Linked DNA regions of Sus scrofa. The protein of the gene in region 2 binds, or shares a complex with, the protein of the main gene of each other region. Links are inferred from orthologs where the notes say so. Each region holds a gene or a part of one and is shown on either strand. Other genes may lie near its edges. The genes, in order: GNB5, RGS7 and GPR158.

Region 1 (3,646 bases), on a different chromosome or scaffold from region 2:
ATGACAAATGGAAGTTCCCAGGCTAGGGGTCGAATCAGAGCTGTAGCCACTGGCCTACACCACAGCCAAAGCAACAGAAAAGCAGGATCCAAGCCGCATCTGAGACCTAACCAAAACTCACAGCAATGCCAGATCCTTAACCCACTGAGCAAGGCCAGGGATCGCTCCCACGCCTTCGTGGATACTAGTTGGGTTTGTTACCTCTGAGCTACAACAGGAAGTCCAAATTTTTTTTTTTTTATGATGGCTCCTTCCCCTCAGCTTTATGACCAGAAAGGTGTCCCCCATCACCCAACAGGTGTGCCATACCTGCGAGGAGCTCACGATCCTCCTCTTATCCTTGCACCAGTCCATGCACAGAACCTTGTTCCCGTGGCCTTTGAGGGTCCTCCTGGTCTTCATGACAAACTGCCCCAGGGCCTCCACACGCTCTGCCACCTGGTGCACTGGAAGGACAAGCACATCAATCCCATGCCAAGGACCAGGTCTTGAGCCACAAGCTGGCCCAGGTGAGACATCGCTGCTTCATTCTCCTGTGTGCCACCCTATGTCCTTGCAGCACTCTCTCTTCCAAGTTCATACTGTCACTCTCTCAGTGTTTAAGACCCTAATGTAAAACTTATATGATATTGCATATCAACTATACTTCAATAAAAAAAAGGCACTATGGTTTTTTTTTTTTTGTTGTTGTTGTTGTTGTTTGTCTTTTTGCCTTTTCTAGGGCTGTTCCCGCAGCATATGGAGGTTCCCAGGCTAGGGGTTGAATCAGAGCTGTAGCCGCCGGCCTACACCACAGCCACAGCAACGCGGGATCTGAGCTGCGTCTGCAACCTACACCGCAGATCATGGCAATGCCGGATCCTTTAACCCACTGAGCAAGGCCAAGGATTGAACCCGCAACCTCATGGTTCCTAGTCGTATTCGTTAACCACTGTGCCACAACGGGAACCCCTCTGAAAAAGGCACTATGTTTTGCAGAGCACTTCCATACATGCATGCTGAGGGACTAAGGGCAGGACGGCCTGATATCTGTAAAGCTCTATGCAGAATTCTCCCACCAAAGGCCCAGGGCTCTATGAGCGGGGTGGTAGATGAGATGGTCATTCCCACTGAATGGGCAACAAGCCTGGGGCTCACACAAGTCTATACAACTAACTGGGAGCAAAGTGGGGCTTCTGGGTTTTTTACCTACTTCTTTTCAGTTACAAGAAAAAGTGACTTTACAGAAACTGCCCCATCAGATGCCAGGATGAGCAACCATATGCTCAACAGCAGGTCCTGAGTGCGCTCACTGTGCCCCCCACACACTGTGCCTGGCACAGGCTTGGGCCATGGCAGGTGCCCCAGCTACATGCTGCAGGAAAAAAACAGATGCGTGACCCACCCAACAGCATCCTGTGGATTTACTGAAAACTTAGTGTCAGTAGAGATCAATGCCACATTCCTGTCTGAACACGTGGTCTGCAGAAGGTATCTATAGCAGGAAGGTTCTCCCAAGTCACTCTCTTGGGGGCTGGGACCACAACCTCTTTCCTGGGGCTGAGAGAACTTACAAGGGGCTTTTAGAGAGGTTCCACCAATGAGTCTCAGAAGGGAACAAGTTCACCCCAAGCAGCAGAAAGGCCCCTAGAAACTAATCCATCTTGTCATTGAGCAGGTGAGGAAACTGAGGTAGCGGATCCCCCTGTGCAGCGCCACCTTCTCTCAGGTTAGAGGCTGTGCCCCAGCTCCTAACCCCACCTCTGCTCTTTCTTCCACCAACCTCTCATCTGGGCCTTTGTTTGGGAGTTAAGGCAAACGGAAGGGGACATTCTAGACAAGGGGACAGCCCCAGGAAAGGTGTGGTGTCCTGGTACAGGCTGAGCATCAAGGTGGAGAGAGGCAAGGCACCGGCCCTGCCTTTCCCTCTCTCATTTCAAGCCTGGGCTGAGGGGCTGACTCTGTGCTTTAAGCCTTGTGACAATAATGCCCCTTCTCAGAAATCCTTCCTTCCTTCTTCCCTTCCCTCCTCCTTTCCTTCTCTCTAAACATTTCAGTGTGTGTTTTCTAAAAACAAGGAACTGTCTTCCATAACCACAGTATAATGATCAAAGTCAGAGAGCAGACACTGAAACAATGCTGTGTCTGGTCTCTAGACCTTGTTGAGACACCCTCCATCATCCCAACAATACCTTTAGAGCAAAACAAAATCCAAGATGACACATTGTGTTCAGTGGTCATTTTCTTTCATCTCCAGTTATTTTGTTCCCCAATCCTGGCTTGTCTGCTGCTTCCTTCAGATTATCTTTGGGTAACACTCGTTTGGCAGAAACACCAGACTAGTACTGAGGTCCTGCCCCACACACCTGTCCTTTCAGGAGGCTCCTGCTGTCTGCTAGTCCCATCACTAGCAATGTTGACTCTGATCATTCGGTTCAGGTGGTGCCTGCCAGCGCACTCCACTGCACAGTTACCATTCTGCTTTGTGTCATGAAAAAGTATTTTGTGGGGCTGTACTTTGAGAGTACATATGTATCTTGTTACTCCTCAATCTTGAATAGCCTACTTTTAATATCCATTCCTGATTCTTGCCTGAAACGATAATGATGATAGTTGGCAAGTCGTGACTATTTTTTTTTTAGGTTTTTATTTTTTCTATTACATTTGGCTTATACTGTTCTGTCAACCCCTCCTAAGTGGTGACTGTTCTAACTCCATCACTCCTTCTGCAGTTTTTAGTTGGCTTTCTCATATAAAGAGAAATATCCCCTCTTCCCTAACATATTTACTCATTCATTTACATAAGTAGGGAATCACAGATTCTCTCTTTATTCAAGAAGTTATAAATAACTTATAAGTTATAATAACTATAATAACTTTAAATAACTTATAAGTTATTAATAACTAATAACTTATAGTAATTTATGATTAACTTATAAATATAAGTAAATAATATTTACCATTATTTATTTTGATGCCCAACTCATCGCTGATTTGCTCAGTTGGGAGCCCCATCAGGCAGGCTCTTGAGACCTCCCGACACGTGCCCATCATCCTTTGAGCACTTCTTACTGAGAGCTTATGTTCCCTCCCTGCCCTAGCCCTGGAAGCAGCCACTTCTCCAAGAAGTCTCAGTTTCTTTGTGTGTGTGTGTGTGGGGGGGGGTTGCTTTTTAGGACCACACCCACAGCATGGAAGTTCCCAGGCGAGGGGTTGAATCAGAGCTATGGCTGCTGGCCTACACCATAGCCACGGCAACACAGGATCTGAGCTGCATCTGTGACCTACACCACAGCTACATCAATGCCGGATCCCTAATCCACTGAGTGAGGCCAGGGACCAAACTTGCGTCCTCGTGGCTACTGGTCATTTCCATTGCACCACAACAGGAACTCCCTACTTGCCCCATTTCTTTGTGATAAAAGAACAAATGAGTAAACAGGATAAAAGTATTTGTGGAAACCCAAGCTGTAAAAAAGTACTTGCTAAACTCTATGTGCTACATGAATGTGCAATTATTATACCATTGCTTCTGCTAAAACACTGTGTTCTTTATTGCCACAAATAGCACATTTCTTTTACAGATATGTTCTTCACAAAAACATATTGAATCAAATTTAAAAACATACTGAACTTTTCTAATTTCTTCTTTTTTCTTTTTTTCTTT
Region 2 (3,646 bases):
TAATATGAATGCAAATATTTAAGTGTCAAAAACCGTAGCCTTGAACAGGAACTTTATCTCGTGGTTAACATAGACACAGAGTAAAATTACCTTTACAATTTGTCACTGTAGGATTCTTCCTATTTTGCCCCAACCTGAAATGAATACAATATTTGAAAGGAGAGAACATTTATTTCACTTACCTTGCTTCAAGTTCCCAGAAGGTAGTATCATCGGACAGCCACGGGTTAGAAGGGTCAGGGGGCACAAGAAATGGGTCATATTCTACATACTGTTCCGTGTAACTTAGCAGACTTGAGAGAGAAGAAGAAAAACATTTCACTTTTCTTAGTTTTCTGCCTGATGTTCTGTCTAGTCTTTAAGGGACACTGTATAAAAATGCTTGGCGAAGGAATCCCTGCTTGCTTATAGGATTTAATGCAATGGCAGTTTTCACTTTTCAGTAGCTTTTGTGCATCAGCTTACTGCACTTCTTAGAGGACCAGAATGGCTAAGGACTCCACTGCTCCCCCGGCTAAGCCATAGAGTCAATATCCCTCCATGACTACGAAGCCACACGGAAGTCAGCGCATAAGAGGAAGCGCCAAGGTTAAGTCCAGTCCTTGATCCATCAGCCCACCCACAGCAGAACTGATTTTAGTTTAACCTGGAGAAGAGGTTAAAAGGAAATTTTGTCAAAAATACTTACAGAAATTAGGTAAATGGGGAATCACTGACAAAAACATTTTGAAAAAAAATCTACATTTTAAAAAAGTCAAGGGAAAGAGAGGAAAAAGGCTGGAGATGTAGGACTGAACAAGGCTCCCAGGTAAAGAATACGAATGCCTTGAGAACACAATTCAATGAAGAAAAGGAAAATACGCAAAGTCTGAGTTTAATTCAGATTCTAACGTCATCAAATAACTGGCCAGTGTGAACGTTCAGATGAATTTATAGAGAGCCTCTAAGTTGCAAAAAGCTAACTTAATAAATTGAAAGCTTCATTTCTCCCAGAAGGAATGAAAAGACTCAATTCCTTCGAATTCTCTTCTGTATTTGACGCTGGTTGCACAAACACTGGACCTCTAGAGACTTAAGATAATAATGATCATTGTGTCATTTAAACTGCAAACAAAAGAGCTCTTTGACATTTTTCTATGTTCAAAAAGGAAAAAGAAAATAATATTTTTAACGGGTTTCCAATTCTTTATACCAGCTCGCCTCCCACCATTCTAAACACATGTAACTGCCACATGAATTTTTAAAAAATTTATATGGTACCGTAAAGTACTTACCTGTCAGCAACTTTCGACATTTTTAACCTATGTCTATCTAACTGTATTTGCCAATATTTTATCTGAAAAAAAGATTTGGAGAAGTAGTTACATAAGTAGTGACATTCTCACAATTTTCAACTCCAAATTCTAATAGACTAGGCAATTCTAAGCAAGACTATGTTTGCAGTCGGTAAATGTTCAAAGTCTGTAGAAAAAAGTCAAACATGAGGGCTTGGAAAGAGTTAATAAAAATAAAAATCTGTTTGAATGTAAATATAATCAATATTGCTTTGGAAGAGCAATGATTTGAACATTCTGACAGCTTTAACGAAAGGTAACTTTAAGTGCTATAGAAATTTTAAGCATTTATTCATAGTGAGTAACCAAATCAGAAGCACATTTCTTCCTCAAACATTCAATTCAGGAAATAACTGTATCTGCTATTTGTTACTATAATGTCAAAATAAACCTGCTTCCTAACACTAACCCTATAAAGGATCAATGATAGTTGTTTTAAGGATGATTTTATGAACTTTTCAGGACAAATTCTCACATGGACATATTGCACATGGAAAATTTAAAACTCTCTGCATTATTTTTTCCTCACTGTGATTATAAATATACTAGAAAAAGTATATATTACACAACTGATAAACCCTCCTACAATAAAATATTAAGGGGAAAGAAGGAAAGGGGAAAAAGTCCCATGTTTTAACTAACAAAGAGATTTAACTATTCCTTGATATGAGACACTCGGTGTTTGCTTTGAAATATTACTTGGAGTTGAAGCTATTGATCAATGGATGAAACAAGAAGCAATACATAATGAGACCGGTCATCAGTGCTAATAAGGCTTAGCACTATTCAAGAGGCATATAGAGACCGGCACTGCAGAAAAAACAGTAAGCACTCTTTTGTGAAGGTCATGCCTCATGATTAGGGGCGGAAAATACATGACCTCATGTCCCCAACCTCTTGTCTTCTCATTCGTTAAGACAGAGTTCATCAGAACAAAATAAACTCTTAGTAATGGAGACACCTATAAATCCGTGTGTGTGTGTGTGTGTGTGTGTGTGTGATTTAGAAAAAAAAAGATTAGAGGGGAGTTCCCATCATGGCTCAGTGGTAACCAACCCCACTAGTAGCCATGAGGATGCAGGTTCGATCCCTGGTCTCACTCAGTGGGTTAAGGCTCTGGTGTTGCCATGAGCTCTGGTGTAGGTCACAGATATAGCTTAGATCCGGCATTGCCTTGGCTGAGGTGTAGGCCAGGAGCTGCAGCTCCAATTCAACCCCTAGGCTGAGAAATTCCATGCGCTGCAGGTGTAGTCCTAAAACAAACAGACAAACAAAAAACAAACTAACAAAAAGGTTAAAGGAAAAAGAATTTGGGGAAGAGTGAAGAGTTTTGAAAACAATTTCCGTATATTGATACATTTTCAAGTGACAACATACCTTAAAATTACCTTTTAACTGCAAATCTTCTATGTGAAATGGTCATTCACACTAATCACTTAAAAAATACATGCTATTAACATTGCCCATCTGGTTCTCATACCTGCTACTCTATTAACCATCATACAGTTGACCCACCTGTTGTTGTAACTCATCTTCTGTTGCAGGTTTACTTTCCGGTGTGGGTGTGTGGGTAGGACTGTGACTTCTAATATCATTTTGTAAACCATAGACAGACTATATTAAAATAAAAAAGAAATATGTTAGGATAAAATAGCATTAGAGTCATAGATTTTCTAAAAGATAACTTCATGTTATATATTCAGGAAAGTAGCTCCATGCTTTGCTGCATATTGGACGAAGCTTCTTATCAAAACTCAAAAGGCACTGCTATCATAAATGCCATATGCATGTCAAATAGAAGCACAGGTTTTGGAAAAAATATGTGGTTAGATTATTAACTGACAGAATAATTGATGACATGGAAAGAACTGGGTAAGTGTGATAAAATACAAAGGTGGGCTGATAGCACTAAATTGGGGAAGGACAACACAATATAACATCTAAGAAGTATGGATTTCAAAGTAAGACAGAGGTGGATATAGAATCATCGGGTCCATGGCCAACCTTACAGTAGCTCCAAGTTCAAATGTGCTTTGGTTCCGACTCGTTTTCACTTGGATGCCACCTCTTCTTTTTTTTTTTGTCTTTTTTGCCATTTCTTGGGCTGCTCCTGTGGCATATGGAGGTTCCCAGGCTAGGGGTCTCATCAGAGCTGTAGCCGCTGGCCTACGCCACAGCCACAGCAACTCAGGATCCGAGCCGGCTCTGCAACCTACACCGCAGCTCACGGCAATGCCAGATCCTTAACCCACTGAGCAAGGCCAGGGATCGAACTGAAACCTCATGGTTCCTAGTCAGATTCGTTAACCACT
Region 3 (4,076 bases), about 38 Mb from region 2:
AACATCCTGTCCTTATTGCACCAAAAGGGCGTTAACACACACACACACAGGTGTCTTACTTTTGCCCAGTTTCTGAAAGAGAACAGAAGCAAGCTCAACCCAAGACTTTCTTCCCATTGGGAACTGGGGAGGATCCCAGTCAATCTGTGGCCCTCTCCCAGTCCCTCTTTGGCGTTTTTGCTCCTTCCTTGTATTCCTCACATTCACTCTTAAAGGCTACTTCCAGAAGTTTCTCACCCCAAAGATCAGATATGTCCCAGGGCACAAGCTAACGACCTGCTAATTTGGAAATTCTCATCTTCCCACAGATGCTATACCTTGAGGCAGGAAATACAGAATTGTTTTTAAGTCTCCTCCAAATTTCCTGAGTGAATTCAGTGAGATCCCTCCCTCTCTCAGATAACTCAACCCAATTCCTTTATAAAGTGTATTTGAAGGGCTGGAGAACGCTTAAGTGTGCTAACACAGAAAACAGGAAAAAGAGGGCACCCAGGAATGGGAGGTAGATTGGGGGACAGAAGGAGATGAGTAGAAGGAGCACACCAACCAGATGCAAAGTCTCAATGGTGGTGACAGCTATGCAGGCGAAGACTAGGGGACAGAACCACTGAGGGGATCGAACTGTTTTCATTACATGCTCTGGTAACTGAGTAACAACAGACTGGCGCCCCAAACTGCACACGTAGGAAGAAGCAGGCAGAGCCAATCCTGAAGTAGCAGGAACAATGAACTCTTCTTCCGGCTCCCTTTTCTACTCTCCAGCGATGTTTGCTGCTCTGCGCCTGGCTGACATACCCTGCACTCCCAGGGTTTCAGTGCATCATCCCGATGGGGAACTCCACCTCCCTCCCCTCCCTAGGGTTAGATAGAAACGTAGGGCATCTCTCAGCTCTGCCAAGAGATGCCCTATGCCTTGCAGGGGAACTGATGTGAAAGAAAAGCTTTTGCTGATTGTCTGAACCTGTCAGGGAGCTGCTTTTCCCTAAGCACTTGTGCCTTCTTGGGGTGTCCCCTCAGCCTGGGTCTCTGCTTTGAGGCTGGGGGCATAAGTGTCACAGCCAAGTGCTCCTTACCCACACACCCACCTACCCGCGAAACCGGAAGGAAGACTTTGCTTTTATCTTTTTTCCTCCCTACCTGAATTCCGGGACCAGGTTAGGCTGCAACCCGTAGAAAGCAGCAGAGAGAGTGACCAGCCACCCGGGCTTATAACTCCCGTTCTCGCACTCCAGATAAGGCGGAGACCACTTGACATGGCTCTTGTCCCCGCTAAGCCCGTCTCTGCGCCTCCAGCTGTGGCCCAGGCCCCGGGGCCCCTGGTTGGAACCGCGGCGGTGTAAGTGAGTCCTCCACTTGCGCCGAAGGCCGTGGAACCACTCGGTCTCTAGCGTGGCGTTGGCCAGGTGGTGTGCGGAAGAGGATAGGTCTTGGAGCAGGATGCGACTCTCCTCGCGAGTGGCCTGGAGAAAGACCTGCGGGGCCGGCGCGGACAGCGACTCGGTGCTGAAGGTGATGGCCGCCCGGGAGATGCTGGGCTCACCCTCCAGGAGGCTCCGCACCAGTGCCTGGTACCACTCCAGGTCGTCCTGCAAGTTCTGCTCCCGCGATTTATTGCTTTGCAGCATCATGTTGAGGAAGTTGGTGGCGTGTGTCAGCGTGTCCAGCGCCCCGTGCAAGGAGGGATGGGAGCTAGCTAGGGCAGGCGACTTTCCAGGCAGGCCCGCCAACTCGTAGCGGCTGGAGCAGTTGGCTCGCTTCAGCTGGTGGGAGTCCCCGGTGTAGAGGTAAGAGGCCACGTCCATGGGCACCTCCTCGGCGAGTTTCTGCGCCAAGATGGTGCCGTCGGTGGAGCGGCTCCAGGGAGCCGAGGGGTCCGAGGCAGAGGCTCGAGCCGGCTGCTGGGCGTGCTGCTTTGCCCTCAGGGTCCTCTCTCGAGGGGAATCCGGCCGACCTGGAAGGTCGCGGCTGGCGCCAACAGCTCCCAATCCCAGATGAACAAGCAGGAGGCAGAAGAGCAAAGGATAAGCCATGGCTCCCATCTGCCCCGCAGAGAGGAGAGGAGGTAACGGGAGGAGTCACTTTTTAAATTTTGGTCGTCAGTCTGTCAACAGTAAGACTTTTACTAGGGGTCTTCTCCCGTCTCCAGCTGGCACCGAGTCCAAGGGGACTTTAAAATATAAATGTTCCGAAATATGCCCGGCTGACTAAGCTACCGTCACAGGAAATCAAATCACCTGTGGCAACGCTGGCTGCTCCTGCTCCACAAGGGGTCGGCTCGAGATTACGCACCTCGCAGCCTTGAGCCGAACAGGTTACATCCCCTCTCGCTGCCGGCAGCTATAGTTAGCCTGCTTACGTCTTTCAGCTCAGCAGCTTCCACCGCCGCTCTCATTGAGGTGTGTTCAAGAGCTGCTGCTGCGGCGGCGGCCGCCGAAGACGCTGCTCCATCATCTCACCAGTGGCAGGTCGTTCCCGCCTCCCGGCTCTGGCTCCTCCTAGTTCGCTTCGTCCCGAGGCTCGGAACGCGCGAACACGGACCCGCACCGCGAGCGCAAGAGCAAGTCCCAGAGAACGAGGGTTTCTCTTAAGATCTTTGTCTCTGTGGAGCCAAGAGGGCCAGGCAGCTGGTTAATTGGAGTCTTTAGGTTTGGCCACAAACCACACTGCTCTCGGGAGGAAAGCCGGTTTAAAGAAGCAGCTTGGCCGCAACCAAACCCTCGTAGGGCGGCTTCAAATCGTCTTGTTCTCCGTTTGGCCAGCTCCTCTGTCAATCAGCCGGCTGCCATTTGTTGGGCTGGGGCGGGAGCTGTCCAGTGCTGAACCCGAGCGGCACAGAGGAGGCGGTGGCGCGGGATGGCGCGGGATGCAGCAGCGCTGAGTCCTTTCACCCACTCGCGTTCCTCATGACTCGGGAACCTTAGTGGGTGGGGGTGGGGTGGGCGGGAGTGAAAGGAGAAGCAGAGCTTTGGTGGCTCAGAGCGAAGGAAACTTGGATGTACTGAGGAGGAGGGTGTTGGCGTCTCGCATGCTTCGTTAAAGCAGCCTTTTCTTTGCCTGGAAAAGAGGGAGAAAGTAGTTTTCATTTGTTACTTAAATCTGAGGGGAGGGACGTAGGATGGAAACGTGTCCTCCCGAGCATCTGCTCTTTTTAGGCAAATTAACAAATCCTCCTCCTTGTTGTGGTTAAAGAAATGATTAAACCCTACTTGCCGAGGTCTTAGCTAGAAGGGAGTAATGGAGACATCTACTGGCTGAACTTTAAGAAATATTTCAGGAACCTTTGAAAAGGATGAAGGGGAACCTGTGACAGTGTATGCAAGTGAATACCTGGAAGGGAGAGAACATGCACAGGAGTGGGACTTGATCTCTGAGAGAATGAGAATGAGTGAGAATGTGTTGAGAGAGAAAGGAAGTCGTTCTGACTGAGAGTTCCTAAAATTAATGGATACGAGAGCTAAGACATCTGGTTAACTATAGATTAGGATGTCCAAGCAGAAGAAAGAAGAGCTGAATAAATATGCCAGGCCACCACCACCAAATGATTGGAAAAATCCTCAACACAGTCTGATTGCTTTATTTGAAGCTTTAAGAGGGTCTTCTGACATTTTCATTCTGAAAATACTAATTAGTACTGGATAGGTAGTGTTTTATACACCTCCACTATCCATATGCACCTCCATTTTCATACTCCTGAAGAAAGACACAGACAACCTCAAATTCACTTCAATTCCCAACACCCATGGCATATGGAGGTTCCCAGGCTAGGGGTCGAATTGGAGTCATAGCTGCCAGCCTACACCACAGTAACACCTGATCCGAGCCTTGCCTGCAACCTACACCACAGCTTATGGCAATGACGGATCCTTAACCCACTGAGCAAGACCAGGGATCGAGCCCAAGTTCTCTTGGATACCAGTTGGGTTCGTTAAGCACTGAGCCACGACAGTAACTCCTATAGTATGATTTTCTGTTATCTAAAGACTGAAGTATAATTTCCTCATTAAGTGATATTTTTAGAAAACCTATATAACTTATTAGCAATTCTTTAGAATTTTCTATGTAATTGCTTAAAGACT

What was found.
Region 1: the proteins of RGS7 (region 2) and GNB5 are in contact, whole or in part, in a cryo-EM structure (PDB 7EWP), measured with the Homo sapiens proteins. The link is inferred for Sus scrofa from reciprocal best matches to the Homo sapiens genes RGS7 and GNB5. Residues at the interface, in NP_001351815.1 of Homo sapiens: Pro19, Leu22, Val23, Lys26, Val30, Ile72, Val76, Glu77, His80, Leu81, Leu84, His88, Val207, Asp213, Ile214, Lys215, Lys216, Leu258, Gln261, Ile262, Trp265, Gln266, Gln268, Leu269, Arg271, His272, Arg273, Leu274, Lys275, Met276; in NP_057278.2 of Homo sapiens: Leu57, Glu60, Ala61, Glu62, Leu64, Lys65, Leu68, Glu71, Lys74, Leu75, His76, Asp77, Val78, Glu79, Leu80, Val83, Leu90, Phe93, Arg98, Arg99, Leu109, Lys117, Arg118, Ser134, Phe135, Trp149, Met151, Leu167, Tyr197, Ser206.
Region 3: the proteins of RGS7 (region 2) and GPR158 are in contact, whole or in part, in a cryo-EM structure (PDB 7SHF), measured with the Homo sapiens proteins. The link is inferred for Sus scrofa from reciprocal best matches to the Homo sapiens genes RGS7 and GPR158. Residues at the interface, in NP_001351815.1 of Homo sapiens: Gln35, Ile43, Ser55, Arg109, Phe110, Thr112, Pro113, Tyr114, Phe115, Lys134, Thr136, Lys140, Ala141, Arg142, Leu143, Leu145, Ala146, Asp147, Ala150, Leu153, Gln157, Trp164, Phe168, Met169, Gln170, Glu172, Ala173, Gln174, Lys176, Val177; in NP_065803.2 of Homo sapiens: Leu507, Lys508, Phe510, Leu511, Arg513, Thr514, Tyr595, Tyr598, Ala599, Thr602, Val603, Pro604, Ile714, Arg715, Leu718, Lys719, Tyr722, Leu725, Glu726, Tyr728, Lys729, Arg730, Met733, Ile734, Thr735, Asn736, Asn737.

The regions. Positions count from the first base shown.
Region 1 is NC_010443.5:119,555,245-119,558,890, reverse strand, and holds part of GNB5 (guanine nucleotide-binding protein subunit beta-5), read right to left. Parts: intron 447-3,646; coding exon 310-446; intron 1-309. UniProt on the Homo sapiens protein: Enhances GTPase-activating protein (GAP) activity of regulator of G protein signaling (RGS) proteins, such as RGS7 and RGS9, hence involved in the termination of the signaling initiated by the G protein coupled receptors (GPCRs) by accelerating the GTP hydrolysis on the G-alpha subunits, thereby promoting their inactivation.
Region 2 is NC_010452.4:11,979,272-11,982,917, forward strand, and holds part of RGS7 (regulator of G-protein signaling 7), read right to left. Parts: intron 2,949-3,646; coding exon 2,850-2,948; intron 1,337-2,849; coding exon 1,275-1,336; intron 294-1,274; coding exon 183-293; intron 1-182. UniProt on the Homo sapiens protein: GTPase activator component of the RGS7-GNB5 complex that regulates G protein-coupled receptor signaling cascades.
Region 3 is NC_010452.4:50,199,846-50,203,921, forward strand, and holds the start of GPR158 (probable G-protein coupled receptor 158), read right to left. Parts: upstream 2,904-4,076; 5' UTR 2,040-2,903; coding exon 1,138-2,039; intron 1-1,137. UniProt on the Homo sapiens protein: Metabotropic receptor for glycine that controls synapse formation and function in the brain. Acts as an atypical G-protein coupled receptor that recruits and regulates the RGS7-GNB5 complex instead of activating G proteins.